Drosophila melanogaster: one gene and its partners. The protein of the gene in region 4 interacts with the protein of the main gene of each other region in a pairwise test. Each region holds a gene or a part of one and is shown on either strand. Other genes may lie near its edges. The genes, in order: BicC, Leash, trem and AP-2mu.

The links.
Region 1: the proteins of AP-2mu (region 4) and BicC interact in a two-hybrid assay, tested with the Drosophila melanogaster proteins (one large-scale study listed by BioGRID).
Region 2: the proteins of AP-2mu (region 4) and Leash interact in a two-hybrid assay, tested with the Drosophila melanogaster proteins (one large-scale study listed by BioGRID).
Region 3: the proteins of AP-2mu (region 4) and trem interact in a two-hybrid assay, tested with the Drosophila melanogaster proteins (one large-scale study listed by BioGRID).

What each region holds. Positions count from the first base shown.
Region 1 is NT_033779.5:16,040,116-16,048,068, reverse strand, and holds the start of BicC (bicaudal C), read right to left. Parts: upstream 6,023-7,953; 5' UTR 5,542-6,022; intron 5,153-5,541; exon of another isoform or gene 4,995-5,152; 5' UTR 4,983-4,994; coding exon of another isoform or gene 4,848-4,982; 5' UTR 4,824-4,847; intron 4,246-4,823; 5' UTR 4,015-4,245; coding exon 3,708-4,014; intron 3,647-3,707; coding exon 3,597-3,646; intron 3,518-3,596; exon of another isoform or gene 3,282-3,517; coding exon 3,212-3,281; intron 3,149-3,211; coding exon 3,069-3,148; intron 3,004-3,068; coding exon 2,677-3,003; intron 2,229-2,676; coding exon 2,103-2,228; intron 2,043-2,102; coding exon 1,661-2,042; intron 1,468-1,660; coding exon 340-1,467; intron 112-339; coding exon 1-111. Other genes in the region: CG45084 (uncharacterized protein), read right to left, coding at 4,848-4,982. UniProt on the Drosophila melanogaster protein: RNA-binding protein that is involved in oogenesis. Required for correct targeting of the migrating anterior follicle cells and the establishment of anterior-posterior polarity in the oocyte. May act as translational repressor of oskar during oogenesis.
Region 2 is NT_033777.3:10,883,677-10,888,566, reverse strand, and holds the start of Leash (leash), read right to left. Parts: upstream 3,028-4,890; 5' UTR 2,595-3,027; coding exon 2,480-2,594; intron 1,223-2,479; exon of another isoform or gene 908-1,222; coding exon of another isoform or gene 257-907; exon of another isoform or gene 224-256; intron 1-223. Other genes in the region: Ak3 (adenylate kinase 3), read left to right, coding at 257-907; CG14696 (uncharacterized protein), read left to right, coding at 3,733-3,847, 4,653-4,890.
Region 3 is NT_033777.3:20,029,036-20,032,946, forward strand, and holds trem (trade embargo), read right to left. Parts: upstream 2,275-3,911; 5' UTR 2,176-2,274; coding exon 2,029-2,175; intron 1,975-2,028; coding exon 1,214-1,974; intron 1,158-1,213; coding exon 1,023-1,157; intron 967-1,022; coding exon 856-966; intron 797-855; coding exon 631-796; 3' UTR 525-630; downstream 1-524. Other genes in the region: CG4854 (uncharacterized protein), read left to right, coding at 1-3, 165-363; idc (identity crisis), read left to right, coding at 2,905-3,075, 3,130-3,911.
Region 4 is NT_033777.3:22,460,631-22,465,150, forward strand, and holds AP-2mu (adaptor protein complex 2, mu subunit), read left to right. Parts: upstream 1-1,824; 5' UTR 1,825-1,900; exon of another isoform or gene 1,901-1,960; 5' UTR 1,961-1,972; coding exon 1,973-2,149; intron 2,150-2,217; coding exon 2,218-2,656; intron 2,657-2,712; coding exon 2,713-3,410; 3' UTR 3,411-3,973; downstream 3,974-4,520. Other genes in the region: Rpn7 (regulatory particle non-ATPase 7), read right to left, coding at 123-1,292.

The DNA of each region.
Region 1 (7,953 bases), on a different chromosome or scaffold from region 4:
CCGTCAGCAGCTTCTTGCGAGCTCCAAACGCCGCGATACCCAGCTCCATCAGGTTTTCCTCGGTCAGGGTGGTGAACACCTCCAGGTCGATTTCGTTTAGAACGAATATTTCTGAAAGGAGAAATAAAAACTGTAGTTTTCCCAGGTTGTAAATATAAAATAGTTTGATTTTAAATGCTATATGGATGTTGAACTTTATGTAACTTTATCTATGACTGTGAAAAAACGTTTGCGTTAAATAAAACACTCTCCAGTTCAAGCCAGACATATATGATAGCTTTATAAAAGACTTCTAGTACACAGTTGGTAAAAACGGACATGATCGGCGGAGCTACTCACTGATGTAGTGCTCCAGACCCAAACTGGTGAGCAGAGTCTGGATGTCCTTGTGCTTGGCTAGCTGCATCCGTCGGTTGACTGGAGTGGCGTCCAGGAGTCCGGTGGTGGCACTCAGTCCGTAAGGGGAACCCAGTCCTGGTGGCAGCCGCCACCCACTAGATGCTCCTCCACCAGCAGCCCCATTTTCCCCGTTCTCCAGCGGGGCAGGGGCGGGCGAGGTGCTGCTCAAGCCCATTCCCATCCAAGCGGTCGTGGGTGTTCGCAGCTCCCCTGCCACCGGGGTGCGCTCCATGGCTTTGTAGCCCAGGGCCCGTTTCATGTCGAAGTCAAAGGCACGGTGGCCGGAGTGCTTGTTTCCTCCAAGGTCATAGTGCAAACTCCGATAGCTCTCGGCACTGCCGGGCAGGAGGTGGGCTCCTCCGGAGTTACCTCCTCCACCGTTGGAATTACTCAGCCCCAGCAGCACTCCATCGCTAAGGCGTCGTCCCAGACGCGCCCCACCACCACCTCCGCCGCCAACGCCACCACCCTCACTGCCGTAAGTGGAATCTGGCGAATAATGCGCCCGATTTTGGCTTCCCGCGGTGGAGGATGAAGTGGACGACACGGTGCCCGGCAATTGGGCATACGGCGGATACGACTGCTCCAGGGAGGTGGTGCTGCTGCTAAAGCTCTGGTAACCACTGGTATTCTGACTGCAGCTGTTCCGTGGCGAAACAGTCGGCGGTTTGAGAGGCGGCGCCACCGCTCCAGGAACCTGCAGATAGTTGCCATTGTTGCTCTGCCCACCAGCCACCATGGAACGATTCTGAGCCTGTTGGAAGCTGTTGTGCAACTGCATATATTTTTGGGTGGGCGCACACACCCCAGTGGGCGTGGCCAAGCCATTGGCGTTCAACAACAGGTGATTGTTGTTGGCATAGGGCGTCAGTTGGCCAGCCAAGGAGGGCGGCAGCAGCGATGGAGTCTTCGGGCTGTCCACATACCCAGCCAGCAGAGCAGTTAACTGGGTGCGGTAGGCGAGATTAAGGTCTTTGTCCTTTGGCATGAAGTAGTAGTCGGGGATCTCGGGCTTCACGAATGGCGTGGCCAGGCGCAGGATCTCCTGGCGGGCCTCGTAGATTTTGTCTAAGGAGGGTGACAACAACGGATTAATACGGAAATTTAATTCAGCACTTGCTAAATATCTTAAATTGTATAATATATCTAAAAAGTAAGGAAAATATGGGATAAAAATCAAACAATAATGGAAAGTGCAATCGTATATTAATGCAGAATCAACGAAAATCATACACTTTACACATTGCTTTAGAGATCTTACCTATAAACTTCTCCACTCCCTTGACCACAATGGCCAGGGTGCTCTGCCGCTGTTTCTGGCGCAACGTGATGTAGACGCCGTACTTGGTGTTGAGGCTCATTATTTCGGATGCATCGTTGTGGTTGTCCGGAAAGTCAAAAATCAATGCTACGGGCAAATTGCCAAGCAATTGTTGTCGCGCCAAGTAGACGTCGTCGATGCGTCCGCTGATCGTGACCTGGGACTTCTTCAGGGGCTTCACGTTCATGTCGCTCAGATCGGGGAATATGATCTTGGTCTGGGTTCGCTCCATAATGCTCAGCAGATTCACGTTGTTCTTGCCCTTGACGATTTCGTGATGCTGCGGCGAGATCTCCATCTGGACATTCACCAGGATTTGGCTCTAAAAAGGAAAAAGGATTCGCTGATGAGCCTTATTTTGAGTTATCCTTCTCGAACCTACCGCAATACTCTCACAGGCGAAGTTGATCAGCAGCTGCGTGGCATCTCGGACCTGCGCCGATTCCTTCTCGGATCCCTTGACCAAAACCAGCGAGGTATGCAATTTTGGACGCGTGGAGAATATGACCTGAAAGGAGGAAAAATCTTTAAAATATATTCAATAATAATTAAGAGCAACGAAAAAACTGTTTACAAAAATCCTTGGTTGTAATTTAAGGTTGCCAAATTCGAAAATAACGTTTAAGTAACTTTATTACTTTAAATGCGTTCTAAATCACTTAAAAATATATAATAATAACACAACTGCAAAATTAGCCTAATGTAACATCAGTTGATAAAATTATAATGGAGCAATATATAATCACAACTCTCAAGGGTTGGGAAAAAAAAATTTGACATTTTCTATACCCCCTCTTAAATGTATGTATGAATGTATATTACAAAATCTTACCTAAATTAGTTAAACTAATCAAGCCATTATAGTCAAATGCAAATAATATTTGGTAACATGCCATGATTAATTTATAATTAATTTATAATCTTACACTTAGTTGACTCCGACATCTGGAACTCACCTGAACATTGAACTTGGTCTCGATCATCTTGATGTAGGGAGTCTCGTGGTCGGGCTGCGGCTTGTTGGGTCCCATTACGGGCATCTCGAAGGAGATGAGCAGCGGTGTGGAGAGCCGAACGAGAGCCCGGGCTCGCTCCACGCCCTCTAGGCTGCCGCACAGCGACACCTGGTTGGATTTCTCCGTGGGATTGGAGCGATTCGAGTCGGGGAAGTGGATATGGGTATGCGTGTCGTCCATTATGCGCTTGATGTTGTTGCCACCTCGTCCGATGATGTACGAGTGATCCGTGTAGCTGACGTCCATTTTCATGATCACTCGAGTGCCCTGTTCGGAGAAAAATGGGTAACAATTAAAACAGATAAGTTTGTATTATGCTTTGGCTCACTCACCCTGGAGTCAAGACTGCTAAGGATGCGCTCCTTTGCCCGCTGAACCTGATCCACCTTTCCCACAATTCGCACATGGGGATCTTTAAATTATGGGATTTATTTGAAAAATACTCTTGAACATTGAAAATATTTCAATATCCTACCCTTCTTGCTCTTGGCACCAATTTTGAGTCTGCAAGGCCAGCTCACATAAGTATCCGTAGTGTTCATGATCTAGTAAAAGAATATGTTTTGGATATATGGCGAATTCTTTTATATCAAGTCAAAAGAGTCGGTCCTAACAGTATCTTAAAACAAATTGGGTTATACACTGAAATTTTATAGATGCAAAGTCAGATTGCCAAACAAAGACATGAATCAATTAACTTAAAAATTTTGCTCAAAAACTAAATAACTTAATATACTATTGAATAGGAAACATATTATTATATGTTCAATATTTATAAGGCATGGCATTCTGTGTCTCAAAATGAGACAAAAGAAAGTGTGAAGCTAATAGGTGCCCAAAACTTAAAAATATGTACTCACGTCATGGAAAAAATATTCAGCTCCATTCATTCCCTCAATGGAGCTCTCCGCTATCAGAAAAAAGGCAATGTATAATAAGGAATCTATTATTTTTATATATAAAGGCATTACCTTTTATTAACTGTTCCAATTTCTGTCGATCCACCTTGAAACGTTCCGTGTGGAGATCGTCTGGGTTTTGAACGCCCAACTTCATGGCGATGGCGCGTATGTCACTCCAATCGCTATCCACGGAGGAGATCTCGCTCTGCGTCTCGCTGGGGGCTCCACTGCCCACCGAGGTGGTCGATGGAAGGGCGTGAAGACTGGACAGGGATCCAATGGATCCAGCTTCCACCTCCAAGCCCACCATTGGCGGTTTGGCAACATCTGCGGCCGACGGATACATCAGTTTATTGAAAGAGGCACAGGACAACATTGTGGAATTCGGATGATGATGATGATCACTGGATCAGTGGATCGGTCAGTGGATCGAGAAATTCGTCAGAGGTCAACAGGTGTGGGTACCAAAAAGTCGTTTAGTTTTAAAAACCAAGCAAAACGTCCGTCTCAGTTAAGGATTCTGGAAGCCGGTCCGTTGTTTGGTCAGCTTTGTTAGATGATTGCTGCTACTTAATGAAGTAAAGTGTATCTGAATTGATGGGATGAGCTGGTGATGAAAAATGAAAGGTCCGAAATGATGTAACAAGAAAATTGATGTTCGTAATAAGAAGAGAGTGGTTAGAAAGCGAGTCATAGGTAATTTAAAGTGAATATTGAAACACCATATAAAAATTAATTATTTTTATTTTGATAGTCGGTACCATAATTTAAGCAATGCACTTTCCAAAAAAAAAAACGATTTTACCTTTAAATTTAGTTCTCTTTTAATTTTTTGCGGTAAATAGTATTTAACTATCAACTGGAATAAGTACTTTTCACTAACATTAAAAAACTTTCTGTCTTAATTTGAAAATCTGTCTTATAAATTTGTGAGAATAATGCCGCGAAAAGGTGAAATAAAAATTCACTAATTAATATTATTATGGATAACAACATTATTATTGGTTCGCCGCCTGTCGAAAATTCCAAACTTTCTTGTGTGTTCTTTCACATAACCTCTCAAAATGGAGTGCTGCTGCCATGAGGTTCGTACTTTCCCCTTTCTCTCGAGATCCCGAAAACCGTAATTTCACCCGTGTCTTCACTTTCACTTCCTTGTGCCCAAAAACCAATGGCGTAACTTACCGCTGGGAGATCGCTCGGTGATCTCTACTTGAGATTAAATAGGCCCTGGAGGTCCAGACAGATGGCGTGCGAGAGGTCCTGGACGAATTGGATGGCCTCGACGAGGCAGACGTTCATAACAAAATTACGTATTTGTTGAAATCTCTCGACGAAAGGCATTTAAGGTGTGATCTGCGCAATAGAGATCTATATATCAGTATATAGCTGTGTGATTGCGACGGTCTGAGGGGCTTTGTCAGAGTATTGGAAAAATGCAAGTTGGGAAAAATCTCTCTGATTTCTGGGGGACCAGCACTTCTTCTAAGTACGGCTTGAAGGCAACTGAACGCGGCTCTCGATTTCGTCGATCGATTTTGCCCGCTGCTCGACGGCATTTACTTCTAACTGTTGAGCGGATGAATTCCGCAAATCGCTGGCAGGAGAAAATCTGGCGAATATTGTTGTTGCTGGGTCAATGAACCGCTCCCGGAATAAGAGATTCGATTCCATATGTCGAGAGCGAAAAACAAAACAAAGTCGCAGGGAGAGGTGGTGTTCCAGAACTCCAACATAGCTACAACAATTTGCAGAGCAAACGCTTAACAGCGGTTAGAATGTTGCAATGTTAAGTTTGAAATGTTGCCAACCGTTTTCATTCATTTTGGCGCCAGAAAAAACGGTAGAGAAATACGGCACAAAGAGAAACCGACTTTATTCCCGCCAAAAACACGCCACTTACCGTAATGTCAGAAATTCGGATCGTAGCACATACACATAGATATCGCAGGTTAATTTACTTAAACACAATCAATTGTAAAATCTTTTCGACAAATAACACGCTCTTTTCACGTAAAAAAATTGTATATCCGCTTGCTAATTAATTTTGGGCGCAATTAATTTTCCGTCAATTGGTCAAATTAAGGTTCGAATGGGAATTCGGCTGGCAGTCGGTGTATTTTTTCAATGTAACCAAAAAAAATAACCACTATCGAAGTGCGAGTAACAGAAAAACACCACGTGTGTGAAAAACACAAAGGAAAATGCAATGGAGTCTCATGAAAAGCGAAACTGAATTGTTGTCAGAAAATCGTGCACTGCGCGTTAGTTAGTTATATTTGAATATTTTTTAATATTTTATAGCTCTTTTGAATTAATATATTATTAATGGGTTGTGCGCGCCGTGCAGTTGTCGTCATTAAAGCGCGCTGACTATCAAACTAAGCTCGGCATGTGGGTCCCAGTCCCAACTGACCTTCAGATCCAAAAGCTCTGTGTTCTGTGGGGAGTGAAGCCAGTGCACGAACAACCTTAAAAAGCTGCCAGCCAACTGGATAACGGATATTCAGCAATAGCTTTATAACGGGAAACGGAGCTTTTCAAGCTTCTGAAACTCCCCAACCTGCACTTTACCAAAGTATTTATATACAGTGGGTTTTAAAAGTACGCTCACCCTTGTACAACCGGAAATCAAACTTTAAATAAACCAAACTTAAATTACGTAATTAAATGATGACATGTACGAGTAAAAGACGTCAGCAATAGTTATTGAATAGGGGTTACTTTATTTCCTTGCTGCTATTTTACATCACTATTTTGTTTTCTTCAATCTTATTATTACATTTATTCTGGCTTTACACATTTCGGGTTATTTATTGGGGATATGAATATATTATGTGCTATGCATTTGACCGCGTTTTTGATTCTCTTTATAGATCTAAGACTTATCGTTTTTCCTAGCAGCTGGAAACATTCACTGTTTTTTTATCCTACTTTCATATTTCTTGGTTAATACTTTTAATATTTATTCAGTAACATCAAAATGTTTGTCCCATTTTTATGTACATAAAACTAGCTTTTTACATTCTTATACATATGGTTATAGTTTATTATATATATTGGCCATAATTGAAACCATACTGAAATTAAAATTAAAATCCCCTGTCAATGTTTTAATGTAATGGGCATAAATTAGGGAAGACAACTTTCACAACACGATTTGATTACAAAAATCTGGCGGCATGCAGTTTATTATTATATAATTATCTATTTGTATTACTTGTTTTTGCATGTACACCAATTAATTTATATTTCATAAGTTTTATTATTACGTTTTATCATTTTATTTACACTTTAAATATATGTACTGAATTTATAAATTATTCAACATTTATTTTTTATTATTGTTATTTTTTTTTAATATACATTTTCATTTGTTTTTGGGCTACGATTACCCATTGCATACATTGAATTGTGTTTAAGGTAAAGGAACTATTTACCGCTGGATTTTTGTTGGCCAAAAATGTTCAAATAATTCTTTTGCTTTCATCGAGTTTTAATATTGCCGAAACAAGACTTGAAAATAAAGATTCTTTTTCGTTTTAATTTGCTCTATGTATTCGTTGTTTTCTACAAATAAACGCTTGCTATAATAATTAATTTTGCTTTTCATTTCCACAACCGTAAAAAGTTCCTTTCTGTACAGTGGATGTTACAAAATATTAATTTTGTGCTTGGTTTTAAGCTTTTATTTACACATTGACATAATGTCTTCTTCATTCTGAAAGGAGAAAACAAACAAAATAAAGTTATAGTCGATTCTCTCGACTATAAGATACCCGTTACTCAGATGAATACCTTATAATGTTACAAACGATTCCACTAATCTAGAACACTCTTTTACTCTAAAAGTAACGGGTATTAGTATTGACTTAAATTATATTCGGTTGTTTACAATTTTGAAGCTGTCAAAACCCCACTTTAAAATGCACTACGGTACCCGAAAGCTAAGCTCAAGTGCAGTCTAAAGTTCAGCTTGCTGTACACTGTGCACAATTCCTATAACTTTTTGATTTTTTATTTGAATATATTTAACGCTTGATATATAACATAAGAGTTTGAAGTACATAGTATTTATTCTAAGTACATTTTGATTTTCAGTGACTGAGCACACGCATTTTCTCACCCTGTACGTGCCCAGTGCCCAGGCAACTGTGCATTTTTGGTTTGACTTTCCGCATCTCTTAATGTTCTCTTCACTGAGAGCCATTTGTCGTGGCTTATTGTGATCTTTTATTTTTTACAGTAAAGATCTGTTCGAAAGTATCGGGAATAAAAAGTGAAAATACCTTGCTGTAGCATTCATATATGCTTA
Region 2 (4,890 bases), about 12 Mb from region 4:
CACCTCTGTATCAAACAATTGTGGCGTGCTTGATAGTCTTATCGCCCATAAAAGTAGTCGAGTATGGTCAACTGAAATAATTTTGGTTTTACTGCCAAGATTATATGTTATTGACCCTAAATCAAAATATAAAAACAGATCCTATATTAAATAGATAAACCGAATTTTTTTATCATATCATATTAAATTTAACCATGTATCAATTCAATTTTTTGTCTTGCAGCTCAAGGAGAGGTTGAAGAACTAGAGCTTAGACATGTTTACGAAAATCTTTCGCGCTGTGATAATCGGAGCCCCCGGCTCGGGCAAAGGAACTATTTCGGAATTGATCTGCAAGAACCATGGATGTGTGCACATCTCCACGGGGGACATTCTGCGCCAGAACATCATAAAAAACACAGAACTTGGAAAAAAGGCCAAGCAGTACATTGCTGAAGGTAAACTGGTGCCCGACGCGATTGTGACCAAGACGATGCTGGCCCGGATAACCGAGGTAGGCAACAGGTCGTACATCCTAGACGGATTCCCGCGCAATATAGCCCAGGCCGAGGCACTGGCTGCACGCGAGCAAATCGATGCCGTGATCACGCTGGACGTTCCACATAGTGTGATTATCGACCGGGTCAAGAATCGCTGGATCCATGCGCCCTCCGGCAGGGTGTACAATATTGGCTTCAAGAATCCCAAAGTGCCTGGCAAAGATGATGTGACGGGGGAGCCGCTGATGCAACGCGAAGATGATAAACCCCATGTGGTGGCCAAGCGACTGGAGCTCTACGATGAGGTGATGAGCCCGGTAATAGCCTGGTACGAAAAGAAGGGTCTGGTTGCCACTTTCAAGGGAAAACAGACAAAGGAGATCTGGCCGATGATGGAGCTTTTCCTCAACGACCGCATAAATGCGTAATGGAGCAACCCCGAAATTACATCCAATGTGCACAAACTAACGATAAACTGCTGTGTTCAATTAAGTGCATAATATATTTAGATATATATAAATGAATACGTATGAAATATGTATGTTTGTGGGCCGGTTAAGAGGAACAGGCGTATAATTAATGTAATTGCGAAGCCTTACACAGTAGCAGCTGTCATGTATTCCTTCTTCCACAGATATCATTCCCCTCATGAGCATGTCTTGCAGCTCCCCCCTTTTTTGTATAAACATATTTTTGTACTCGTATTCTGTGCTCTGATAATAAATCGCGTTTTTTATATATATAAATATATATATATATGCGCTGATAACAGCCGACTTTGACTTTTGGGCAGTTAACGGACAGCCGTCGATCTATTTTTAGGCAATGTCCACAAACCCTTGGCCCCATGCGTGAAGCCAACACTTTTAGCTTCACCTCATGACACCCAAATGCCCTTCATTTTATCGCGTAGCGCATTAATTTCTAAAAAATATGGGATAGTGTGGCGCTCCCGTTTAGTCTCGCGCTCTCTTACTCACACATGCACGGACCAGCTGCTGTTCTCACGCACACCTGTATAGTGGCAAATCACAACAGAGAGGCGCTTGTACAGTCAAGGGCGCCCAATTATGTCAGATTTAAAATTCTTTAAGTCATTTATAAAAAATTCAATAAACCACTTATTGTTTTAAAGGTATACTTCATAATAAAATGGAGATAGCTGTTTGCCTTTTAAACACTATACTTCGGAATATACCATTACTGGGAATCTTATTTCTGGATAATTAAAAAAAAAAACCTATATAAACCCCTTTGTGGCCACCACTGTGCTGCGAGCGCCCTCTCACCTCTCTCTCATTTAGACCCGACTTGCGCTTGGCCCAATATTACGGCTTTTTCGGCACGCCAACTGAGTGTGCCTCTCTTCGCACATGCCCCCACCGTCTACACTCCCCTCTCGCGCGATGCGTTTGGGTTGGCATTTCCTGAAACAAATGCCAGTACTCAAGAATCGTGAAGAACGAAAAGAAATTCAATTGCAATTGCAACGGGCGGCAATTGAAAGCTTATCGATGAATGAAAGGCGAGCGCCGAAGGCAATTAGAGGAATTTGCGAGCAAGAATCTCGAAATTGCGGTGAAGCGGAGGGGGAGGAAGCCCCATAAAATGGCCGCTGTGCTTTGTTAACTGATGGAGTTCTTTGTTTATGCGAATGGGGCCGCAACGAAAGTCCAGCTGACCATCGGGCGGACAATGGATTGCAAACCGCTGACAAAACAGAAAAAAGCACATTTCTATTTGTGGAGTACATGATGGGTTGTGCAGAAAACCATCTTTGTTAATATTAGATTACTATATCTAAGCTAAATCTTTTCGGTAATACGATCTATATGTACACATGTAAACAATACCCAGAATCATAAACTAAGAGCCTAACGTTAAATGTAGGGTTTTGAAACACTTTCTCTGCGTGTCTACAGCTGAGTCATGGATGATGCAAGCCGAGCTTTGAGATGTGCATTCCAGGAAGCGGCAAGTTATGCTCGACTGGCACTTACCGCGTATTTTGGTGCGCTTGTTGACGTTCATCCAGATCTCGCCGCGAATTATGTCGCCCGCAAAGTAAACCCGATCCGCGCTGTCCAGCGTGATTCGCAGCCGCTCGCTTTCCATTCCGCTGGCGTTGATGGTGATGACTCCTCCGGTTTGGCCACTTTCCTCACGCACTTATCCAAAAATAATTTCGTCATCAAAATGCCGCCACATACAAACGTACATGGATGCACTGCAGCACCACGGCCCGCACCACCCTAAAGTATATGCAGAATAGTAGCACCACCACACGCACTCGCCTCACGATTTACGATTTGATGTTACTACACACACCGCGCGGTGAGTGGGAGCTTTTTCGCGCTGATTGTGGCCAGTTCTTGGGGAATCTCGATATCCATCAATTCGCAATGGCCCACAAGTGTTGGTCGCACACCCCGGGCTAATTTAATTCGATTGCTGTCGTCCGCTGGCGGGTTGAATAATTAAATTTCTTATAAATTTACGAGATCCGTGAGTTACGCTTTTTTGTTGTAGCTGCAGCTCTCTTTCGATAACCGTGAGAGCGGCGGTCCGATAGCACGAACAGCTGTTGCGCGGTGCTGCCACCGGGCGCCTGGCCAGCTGAAGCGGTTAATTCGCAGACTTTTTAATCGGTATTTTCAAATGTGTCTAATTTAAAGTTTAAGTTCTAAACAGCGTTTCTTAAATGCACTGTTTTCAGTTGTAATGCAAGAGTTCAGAAATGCTTGGTAGTAATGGTCTTTTTTTATGGTTTGATGTTTGAAAAGAGAAGAAGAAACTCTCTGTTTGAATATCGCCAATAATTTAAGTTGATATATTTCACTACGAATAATAATTACCAAATATTTTACTGTATAGATAACAAAACGCTCAGCTTAGATGTCAGCGATGATTGAAGCATACATACATATTTTATTAAGATTAAACTTTAGTTGGCTTAGCAGCATAATGCTCCATATAGTATTTCGTGTGCTTCCCCGTTCTGTCCTTCGCTTCTTCTTCTTGTAACCTCTCGCGCACAAAAGTTTGCTTCTCGGTTCTTCGGTCTCACCAAAGACTTTTGAGAATTCAGTATTAAGCCAGAGCTGCTCGCGTTCGGAGCTTGCGAGCTGAGTCGCCGGAACCCTCGAATACATCGAATCCCTACCTCTTCCACCAACTATCAATAAAACAAACAAAGGAACTTGATAGCGCGATACCACCCGACACCGTCGCCAAGGAGCCAATTCTGGACAGGATGAGCAGCAAGGTGAACTTCGTCTTCGACAGCAATCCTTTGGGGCTCTATCAAGCCGGTCAGCTTATCTCCGGCACGGCGGAACTGATTACGGAGCGCCCCAAGACGATTCGATGTAAGTGACACCGACATGCGGAAGAAGACGCACTACATACATATGTATTCTAATGGACTCGAAACCATGACGTCATCCCCCTCCATCACCATTCAAATTCTGAATCCCATACCGTTTTACCATCCACTAATAAATAAATATCCACTTAATATTGTTGGTGCTTTGTTATCCGCTGGTTTAATGTTATTGTTGCCGGTAGATATGCTTGAAAGATGTGTATTGTATATACAAATGTACATATATGTATGTATACATAAAGTTTATATACAACACACATGTGGCCGCTTGGCTGGCTGGCGGATATCTGATAGCGGCGTAAAAACTAGTTTTGTTTTGAAATTGCGTACGCTGTTTGTATTATTAGATATTTGATTCAGTTACTGGTCAGCCCGTTCGTGCCAATACCTTTAAATTGTAGTGTATAGGTAGCATTTTGGGTCAATTAGGCGTAATTCATGCAGATATACATATATATATAAATTTATACAAATCCCATTAGCAAGCTAAGTGGACCCTAGCCATCGGTTCAAATTCAAATAATCAAATATTTCCTAGGGTATCAAATAGTCGAGCCTTAGCAGCGCTTTAATTTGATGGTGAACTTTATTAGGTAGCATTCGTTTTTTTTATGCTTCTGATTAAATTATTGTTAGTTCATTAACAAAGACAGTTGTTTGTAGCTGAGCAATTTTCCAATACAATTCTACATCCGAAACACACAAAAGGTCCAAGGTCAATGGCAATTAAACTAAATGCATAATTGAATTACATACCCGGCAGTACAGACAAATTAATCCAATTGCAGCGATCTTTATAACCATAAATGGATACGGCGAGACGCGTTGGCAGGAAAGCGAGGAGCGAGTGGGAGAGGATGGGAAGACGACCAAGTCCCTGGTGACCCACACCACCACCGAGGTCTACTACAGCACTGACCAGCCGGTTTACGGCCAGGCCGGTGGCTCGCAGCTGGAGTTGCCCACCGGCAAGTACGTCTTTCCCTTCCGGGCTACCATTCCGCCCAATGCACCCACCTCATTCAA
Region 3 (3,911 bases), 2.4 Mb from region 4:
GAGGTAGGTAAAAACATATAGGGCTGTCATAACTAGAATAAAAGAGATATATTTCTGTTAATCAGCTTTAATGTCAATTAATTGTTAACAAGTCTTGATAAAAGTTACTTCAAATCTAAATCTTAAGACATCCACGGAAGTTTCTAACGTTAAATACACTTTAGGATCCACACCAACGAACGACCGTACAAATGCGAGTTCTGCAGCAGGTCCTTTGGCTACTCCAACGTCCTCCGGGTTCATCTGAAAACCCATACCGGTGAACGACCATTTAGCTGCCAGTACTGCCAGAAGTCCTTCTCCCAGCTGCACCACAAAAACAGCCACGAAAAGTCACACAAAAGGACGAAAGAGGTGAAATGATTGCAGTGACTAAGAGGAAACATTGAGGTGCAAATTAAATAAGTTTCTCGTTGAAAATTGTACAATATATTAATGGATAAGTTCTAAGCCATAGGGCACCGCCATTAAAATTTGTCATTTTTCCTTATTTAATTTTTTATAAGAAGTAAAAAACAAATTGTACAAAAAAATATATCCTGTGTACATTTATTTGCTTAATGGAAGAACTTAAACAACGGCTTACTAAATACTTAGACTAAACTTTGCATAAGAACTAAAAAGAACATGTCACTCTTTGGGGAGTTCATTGAGAAACTCCGGCGTTTCCCCCTTGACATCTTCTGCTTTGGTGCTCTCTTCTGCGTCATTTCTCCAGGTGATACGTCTATTATGCGTTTCCCGATGCAAACGCAATTTGTAGGCCTTCACAAATCCTTTGCCACAAAGATCACAGCTGAAAGAGAATAGCTATTATTGCAGGATAATGAAGTAGTAAAATATGTTGATGCTTACACATGCGGCTTCTCCCCCGTGTGAATCATCTTGTGGAACTTCAGGTTGTCCGAGTAGGTAAACGTTCTGGAGCAAACGTCGCACACGTAGGGACGCTCCTTAGTGTGAATTCTGGAGAGAAATAATGTCAGTTTAATTTACTTTCAACTGTTTCGAATATTTCTCACCTATGATGTTTGGTTTTCGTGGATCGATCGGCGAAGGCAGCTGGACAGTAGTTGCACTTGTATGGTCGGTTCCCCGTGTGAGTGTTCATGTGCCGTACCAGCTGTTGATTCTGCACAAAGCCTCTTCCGCAGATCCTATAATAACATCCTATTAGCCATAGTTACTATTTACTTTCAACTTTTAAACCTACTCGCACTCGTGTGGTTTAACACCAGAATGGAATTTCATGTGCTCGGTGAGACGCGCCTGAGTCGGATAGATATTTCCGCACACATCGCAGATGTATGTGCTCAGCTTGTTGCGCGGCTTTCTGCCCACCTTCTTTTTGAAGGTTTCCACTTTTGGGCTATTCTTGTGGTATGCAACTGGCTTCCTGCCCGATCGGTCGCATTTTTCCGGCTTAGCATGAGTTGGGTCATAATCTTCGTCAGAGTCGAGTATGTCTTCAGCAATTTCTTCTTCGGGCGGCTCCTCTGTGGCAACATCTGTGCCGGTGGAGCCTTTTTCCTGTGCGATTTCCGGCGAGTTTTCGTTGGTGAGCAGTTCGTATTCCTCGTATTCAGCATAGGTTTCAGCCTCCTCGATCTCATTTGGCACCGGCTGCGTGGGATCGTGCACATCGAACATATTGGTATCATCAGTATCACCATCCTCCACGACATAGGTGATAACCTGATGTTGCTGATCCTCCTCGCCCTCCACTTTCATGCCGCCATCCAGCTGACTGGCGTAGTCCTCCCACGACTTCAGTACGCTCTCCACCGAAAGGTCCTCCGCGATGCTAAGCAAATCCCCTTCGCCGGCGGCGTTAGCATTGCTGGCCTCCCGGTCCAGCATGTCCATAATGTGCTGATGGGATCGCTGGCATGTCAGACGGAACTTGTAGCAGAGCCGCAGGCAGCGCACGCACTTGCTGCACATCTTGTCCGGGAAGTTGTCATCTAGGCTGACCTGTTTGGGTTGGAATAATTTAAAATGGGCAAACCAAGCAGGATTCACACTTACTGGAATGCCTGCGCAAATGTGCAGCATTTGGTCCAGTCGCGTGCTTGCCGTTTCGCTGAATATGTCGTGGAGCAGCTCCTCGCCCTCGCTGGGATTGTTCAGGCAAACGCGGCACACCACCCACTTCTCGTTGGACTCAGTTTTCATGGCTAATTCGATAAAACAATCACTTCGGTTGTTGCAGAAGATTCAAACAGCTGAATTTAAGCGTCCACGGCCACTGGCCATTCACAGCGAAACGCGCCCGCCAAAGTTGATACGGTGAATGCACGTTATGAACGACTACATGGAGCGTACAGGGTACATAGCTGTATGTGCACTTTTTACCAAACAAATGTTTTAAATAATTTTTTTTTGGTAGAAAATAATATAAAAATGCGCGTCATTTTATTAATTTTATTTTCAATTTACAAATATTGAAGGAAAATGGTTTTAAGTTCGTTTATATAATAAAAAGGAAAAGCACTATTCTATCAAAGTAGTTTTGTTTCAGTACAGTAATGACCACACTGTCTTATGGAACGATGGAACTTTACATGAGCTTGACATATAATATTGTATTAAACTGCTTAATCAAGCTTTTATATATTTAAATTGTAAAACACTTGAATTCCAATTTTACTGATTTATTTAACTGCCCACAAAATGCATTCGTATTCTTAATTATATATTTAATATTTGAAGTAGCGAATGGAATACCCTTAGCGTCGACTGTGGTCACCCTGTGTGGCGACATTCGCATTGCAACGCGTGCACTTCGCTCCAGACTACAATCTATTTTTTTGGCGTCGTCTTCGTCCAGCGAGCGTGTTATTATAAATATTATAGCGGAGGGTAAGTAGCCTCCTGGAAGAGATCCATCTCCTATTCGCGACAATGAGAGACTCGGCAGCACATGCGAGTCCGGCGGCAGCGGCAACGAGCACGCAGAAGTGGATCGTTTGCCGGGTTTGCCTGCAGCAGCCCAAGGAGCCCATGGCCAGCATTTTCAACGACGATTCGGAAAAGGATCTGACCCACATGATTCGCGAGTGCGGCGGAGTGCCCGTAAGTTTGTCCCATTGGACCCCGAACCATATAACAATGCAATTTCCTTGGCAGATCAAACAGTTCGATCACTATCCGGACAAGATATGCGAGAAGTGCTTCAAGGTGCTGAAAATGGCATTTAAGTTTCGAGAGACCTGCCAAAGATCGTACGGCCATCTGCGCCAGTTCGTTGGACCCGTAGAGGTGGAGCAGCGACCACCGGAGAAAAAGGGCTCAGAGACAGCCACCAAGCTGGAGCCGGATGTCGATCCCGATGAGGCGGAGCAGGAGCCAGAGCATGACGAGGAAGACGAGGATGTGGACCTGGACGAGAGCCACTATGCCGAGGCGGACGATGCCGCCGAAACGCAGGGTGGTGTCTTCCATGACGAGATTGAGGATGGTATCCTCGTTGAGCTGGAAAAGGATCGGATTGTGCACGTGAAGAACGAGCAGGTGGAGGAGGACGGCATAATCGAGGAGGTTTATGACGTGTATGAGACGTACGAGGGCGACCTCATCCCAGATCAGGGCTATGACCACGAGATGGCCGATCAAGCCCTGTCCGAGTTATCTGCCGAAATCGAATACCTGGACCAGGTCGAGCATGATCAGTTGACCGAAAGTGCCCACGAGGATGATGCGGAAGTCGATCTGAACTCAACCGAAGAGGAGTTCGTTCCCTCAAAAAGCGTTCGCGCGTCCATCCATGCGCGGAATGCCACCAAGCGGAGAGTGAATCCCCGCAGGTCAGCTACATCGACGGCCTCGGTGGCTGTAGAATCGAGTACCTCCAAGACAACTGACCGCGGCAATCCACTTAAGGTACGGCGGGGTAACAGTGATTCGGCTGG
Region 4 (4,520 bases):
GCTAACGTACAATCTGCTAGAGCATTTCCATGAGTTTTATATCGTTTTTATTATTGTACGTTGCATTAGCTTTACACTGTAATAAATGTTGAATTTGAATAAATCTTTTTATATGAACTACATTAGATGTTTATCACGCGGCTCAACTTCTGGATGCGGTTGAGCAGCAGATCGCCCTGCTTGATGGTCGCCTGGTACTGCCAGTTCTTGTTGTCAGGCCGATTGGTCTCCACAATGCCGCCAACGCGATCCACCTTGGCATGCAGCCGTCCGGCGGCGATGAAGCGTGCCAGCTCCTGGTCAATGTATTCCACTGTTACGCCGAACGACTCGGCCATATACTGCAGGGTGAGGGAGCGATACGACTCCAGCAACTGGGTGTAGCCCAGAATGCGCATCTCGCGCACGTAGTAGCGGTAGTGGGGATGAATGAGGTAGTCCAAGCGCAATTGCTTCTCTACGCCGGCCAGGTGTACGTAGAAGTTCTCATATTGGCAGTTGTACAAGGAAAACAGGAACTGTTTCACGTCGGGCAGGCCATGGAGCACCTCCTGGATTTCGGAGCCCTTGATCACTTTGTCGCGCAGCTCATTGCGCGGCAGGGCAATCATGGCCACGTAAACGGTGTAACGCACGAAGGTGGGGTAGTCCATCAGTTCGTATGAGGTGAAGGTGCTTACGGTGTCCAGGAAGAACGTGGCCGCCGCCTTGAAGTCACGCACCGCCACCGAGTAAACACCCTGGTAGACCTTCAACCGGTTGCGTCGGTCCCAATCGCCGCCTTCCTCGATCAGATACTTGGCCTTGTCGATGTTGCGAGTGATGAGATCGTGGTCAAGGTAAAACAGTCCCAAGCGGATCAGATGGAACACGATGTCCAGGCGGTGACCCAGGGAAACGGTCTTCTCGTAGGTCTTGCGGAAGGCAGTCTCTGCGGCAGCCTTGTCGCCGATGCGGCACAAGTACTCTGACTTCTTAAGATTCGCCTCGCGCACTTCCATCTCGCCCAGATTCTTCTCCGCATCCTCGATTGCCGCATCTAGCTGCTCCACCTCTACGCGGTTGTTCTCCTTCATTCGCGCCAGCAGATCCTTGTCTACGGTCCAGCCGAGTTCCGAGCAGATGTGCTCGTACCACGGGGCCATATTCTCCGTGCGAATCGCCTCCAGAAGCTTCGCCTTCAATGCCGCATCCTGCTTGTATTCCGCCAGGGTAAGCAGGAACTTCGTCTGGGCCAGCTCCAGGTTCGGGTTCTTCTCCAGACCCTGCTCCTCCAAGTTTTCGGCAGGCATTTTGGTCGGATTTGTTGGCTTCGGTTTTTTAAACACAGAAAAATAGTTGATTTTCTTGACAAAACTCAATTTTGTTTTTGTCAAATCGCAGAGTCATGTACTACCAGTGTGACCCCAAAATTATCGATAAATTATACCGCATATTTTTACATTGCCAAAAATACCAGAGCGATGTCCATCAAGATAGCGACGAAATTAGAACAGTGCAATTGCCAATTGGGAATTTGTATTTTAATTTATTTTTAAATTCTGAAAGTAATTTAAATTTAAAAAAAAAACTTGAGAGCTGTCTAGAAAAGAACTGATGTTTCATGATAACTTTGTCGAAGAATTAAGAAATATTTAGTTGTAAAATAATTGTTGAATCTATTTTTTTCCAATAACACGACTTATATATTTTTTGAAAATATTCGAGCTAAATCCCAAGAAGTAAACTCAATCTGGGATTTGAAGTGCCCAGAACTCGAATAAACACTTCTTTTTAAATAATTGTAAGACCGTATCACTTATGGTATATACTGACCTCGAAGGGCCACACTAAGGGGGAGTGAAAATTGATTTTCTGATAAAAATTTTCGCTTGAAGCTACAGCATCGTCCACTGTCCATGTATATATCTTATATTTGCATATAAATATATATATTACACCGACTTGGACTAACCATCAGATAGCGCACAAGATGATTGGCGGCCTGTTCGTCTACAACCACAAGGGCGAGGTGCTGATCTCGCGAGTTTACCGCGACGACATCGGTCGGAATGCCGTGGACGCCTTTCGGGTCAACGTCATCCACGCCCGCCAGCAGGTCCGCTCGCCAGTGACCAATATTGCGAGGACCAGCTTCTTCCACATCAAGGTCGGTGAACAAAGTTCCTATGTCACAATCACCAACCCTCCCACTTATCATCAAAACTCCTTTCACAGAGAGCAAACATTTGGCTGGCGGCTGTGACCAAGCAGAATGTGAACGCCGCGATGGTGTTTGAGTTCCTTTTGAAGATCATCGAGGTGATGCAATCCTACTTCGGCAAGATCTCGGAGGAGAACATCAAGAATAACTTCGTGCTCATCTACGAGCTGCTGGATGAGATCCTCGACTTTGGCTACCCGCAGAACACGGACTCCGGCACCCTGAAGACCTTCATCACACAGCAGGGCATCAAGTCGGCCACCAAGGAGGAGCAGATGCAGATAACCTCGCAGGTTACCGGCCAGATTGGCTGGCGTCGCGAGGGCATCAAGTACCGGCGCAACGAGCTTTTCCTGGACGTATTGGAGTACGTGAACCTGCTGATGAGCCCGCAGGGTCAGGTTTTGTCTGCCCACGTGGCCGGCAAGGTGGTAATGAAGTCGTATTTGTCGGGTAAGTTAGCATAAATAATCTAGACATTATTCCTTTTAATAATCGCCATGTTGTAGGCATGCCCGAGTGCAAGTTCGGGATTAACGACAAGATCGTGATGGAGTCTAAGGGACGCGGTCTCTCCGGAAATTCAGAGGCGGAAACCTCACGCTCCGGCAAGCCCGTCGTGGTCATCGATGACTGCCAGTTCCATCAGTGCGTCAAGCTAAGCAAATTCGAGACGGAGCATTCGATCAGCTTCATCCCGCCGGACGGGGAGTTCGAGCTGATGCGTTACCGTACCACCAAAGACATTTCGCTGCCATTCCGAGTCATCCCGCTGGTGCGGGAGGTGGGCCGCACCAAGATGGAGGTTAAGGTTGTGCTGAAGTCCAACTTTAAGCCCTCACTGCTGGGCCAAAAGATCGAGGTGAAGATACCAACCCCGCTCAATACATCGGGCGTGCAGCTCATCTGCCTAAAGGGCAAAGCCAAATATAAGGCTTCGGAGAACGCGATCGTGTGGAAGATTAAGCGCATGGCGGGCATGAAGGAGACACAGCTGTCCGCGGAAATCGAACTTTTGGAGACGGACACCAAGAAGAAGTGGACTCGGCCGCCCATCTCCATGAACTTTGAGGTGCCATTCGCGCCGTCCGGCTTCAAGGTACGCTACCTGAAGGTGTTCGAGCCCAAGCTCAACTACTCCGACCACGATGTGGTCAAATGGGTGCGCTACATCGGACGCAGTGGCTTGTATGAGACGCGCTGCTAGGGCGCCCAAGCATCCCCATCACGGAGCAAGATTATCACAATTGAATTTAACGAGATGAATGGAGAAAGTGTTACCGCATCTATTGGTATTTCCTCAATCAAATTGAACCAGCAGCTTATGTATTCCAAGATTAGTTCCAGCAAGTCCGGAGGACGCCCGAGTAGCGGATCCACCCCGGACACCCTATGCCGTATACCGCACACACTGCCTCCGCGAGCACTGGTTATGCGGGCGGGGCGTGTTCCCCATAGACATACCACTACTAGGTACTATGATTTACCCTACTATGTAAATGTAAACTATGTTGTTTTTATATGCGTCGCGGGACGTCTCACAAATCTCACGCTCACGTTTCACAACTCTAATTATTATTTGTATTATCGTATTATAAATATATATATATATGTATATTTAATCATTATTTTCATTGTGCAAAGAACAAAGGCGATAAATGCAACTAAGCGTATTTAATAGACCAAAACTCTGTCAGCGCTATCAATATTGATATTCAAGTGTTAATAATATTCGAATTGTTTAATAAATAAATTAGCATGATATATACTAAAAATGATGTGTTTCTCATTGGTGAAAGGGTATCGTTATATGGCTTTTCCCTATATCGAACTGATATGCCCAACAATAGAACGGAAAGGTACGATTACAACCTCATAAATGGGTGATATACAACTTTATGATCAGCCCACAAGTGCTGTCTTCGCTATCACGTGTGCACATTGGTTCAAGATCAGCTAAATCCTGAAATTAACGTCACAATTATTGATGATGTTCAACGAAGTGAAAACTAGTTTCTAGCCATGAATCATCGCACCAATGGAAGTGATCTTTGCGTTTTGGGAAAGCAAAAAAGGGCCTAAAAATGCCAGTTGGCATAAAAGCTTGCTTATCGTGGAAGGGGCTTTTCACAATTTTCCATCGGCGCTAGAAATCAACATTGTCCAATCAGTTCACCCACTGCGATAAAGTTTATTCCGCTGTGTCCATTAAACTATTATTTCTAGGTGTTAGCTGTTGCCAGCGCTGGATAGCCTTGACTGGTTTCGCCATCCAGATACTAATTAATTGGACTGGAAATTTTAATAAATCCGTAGA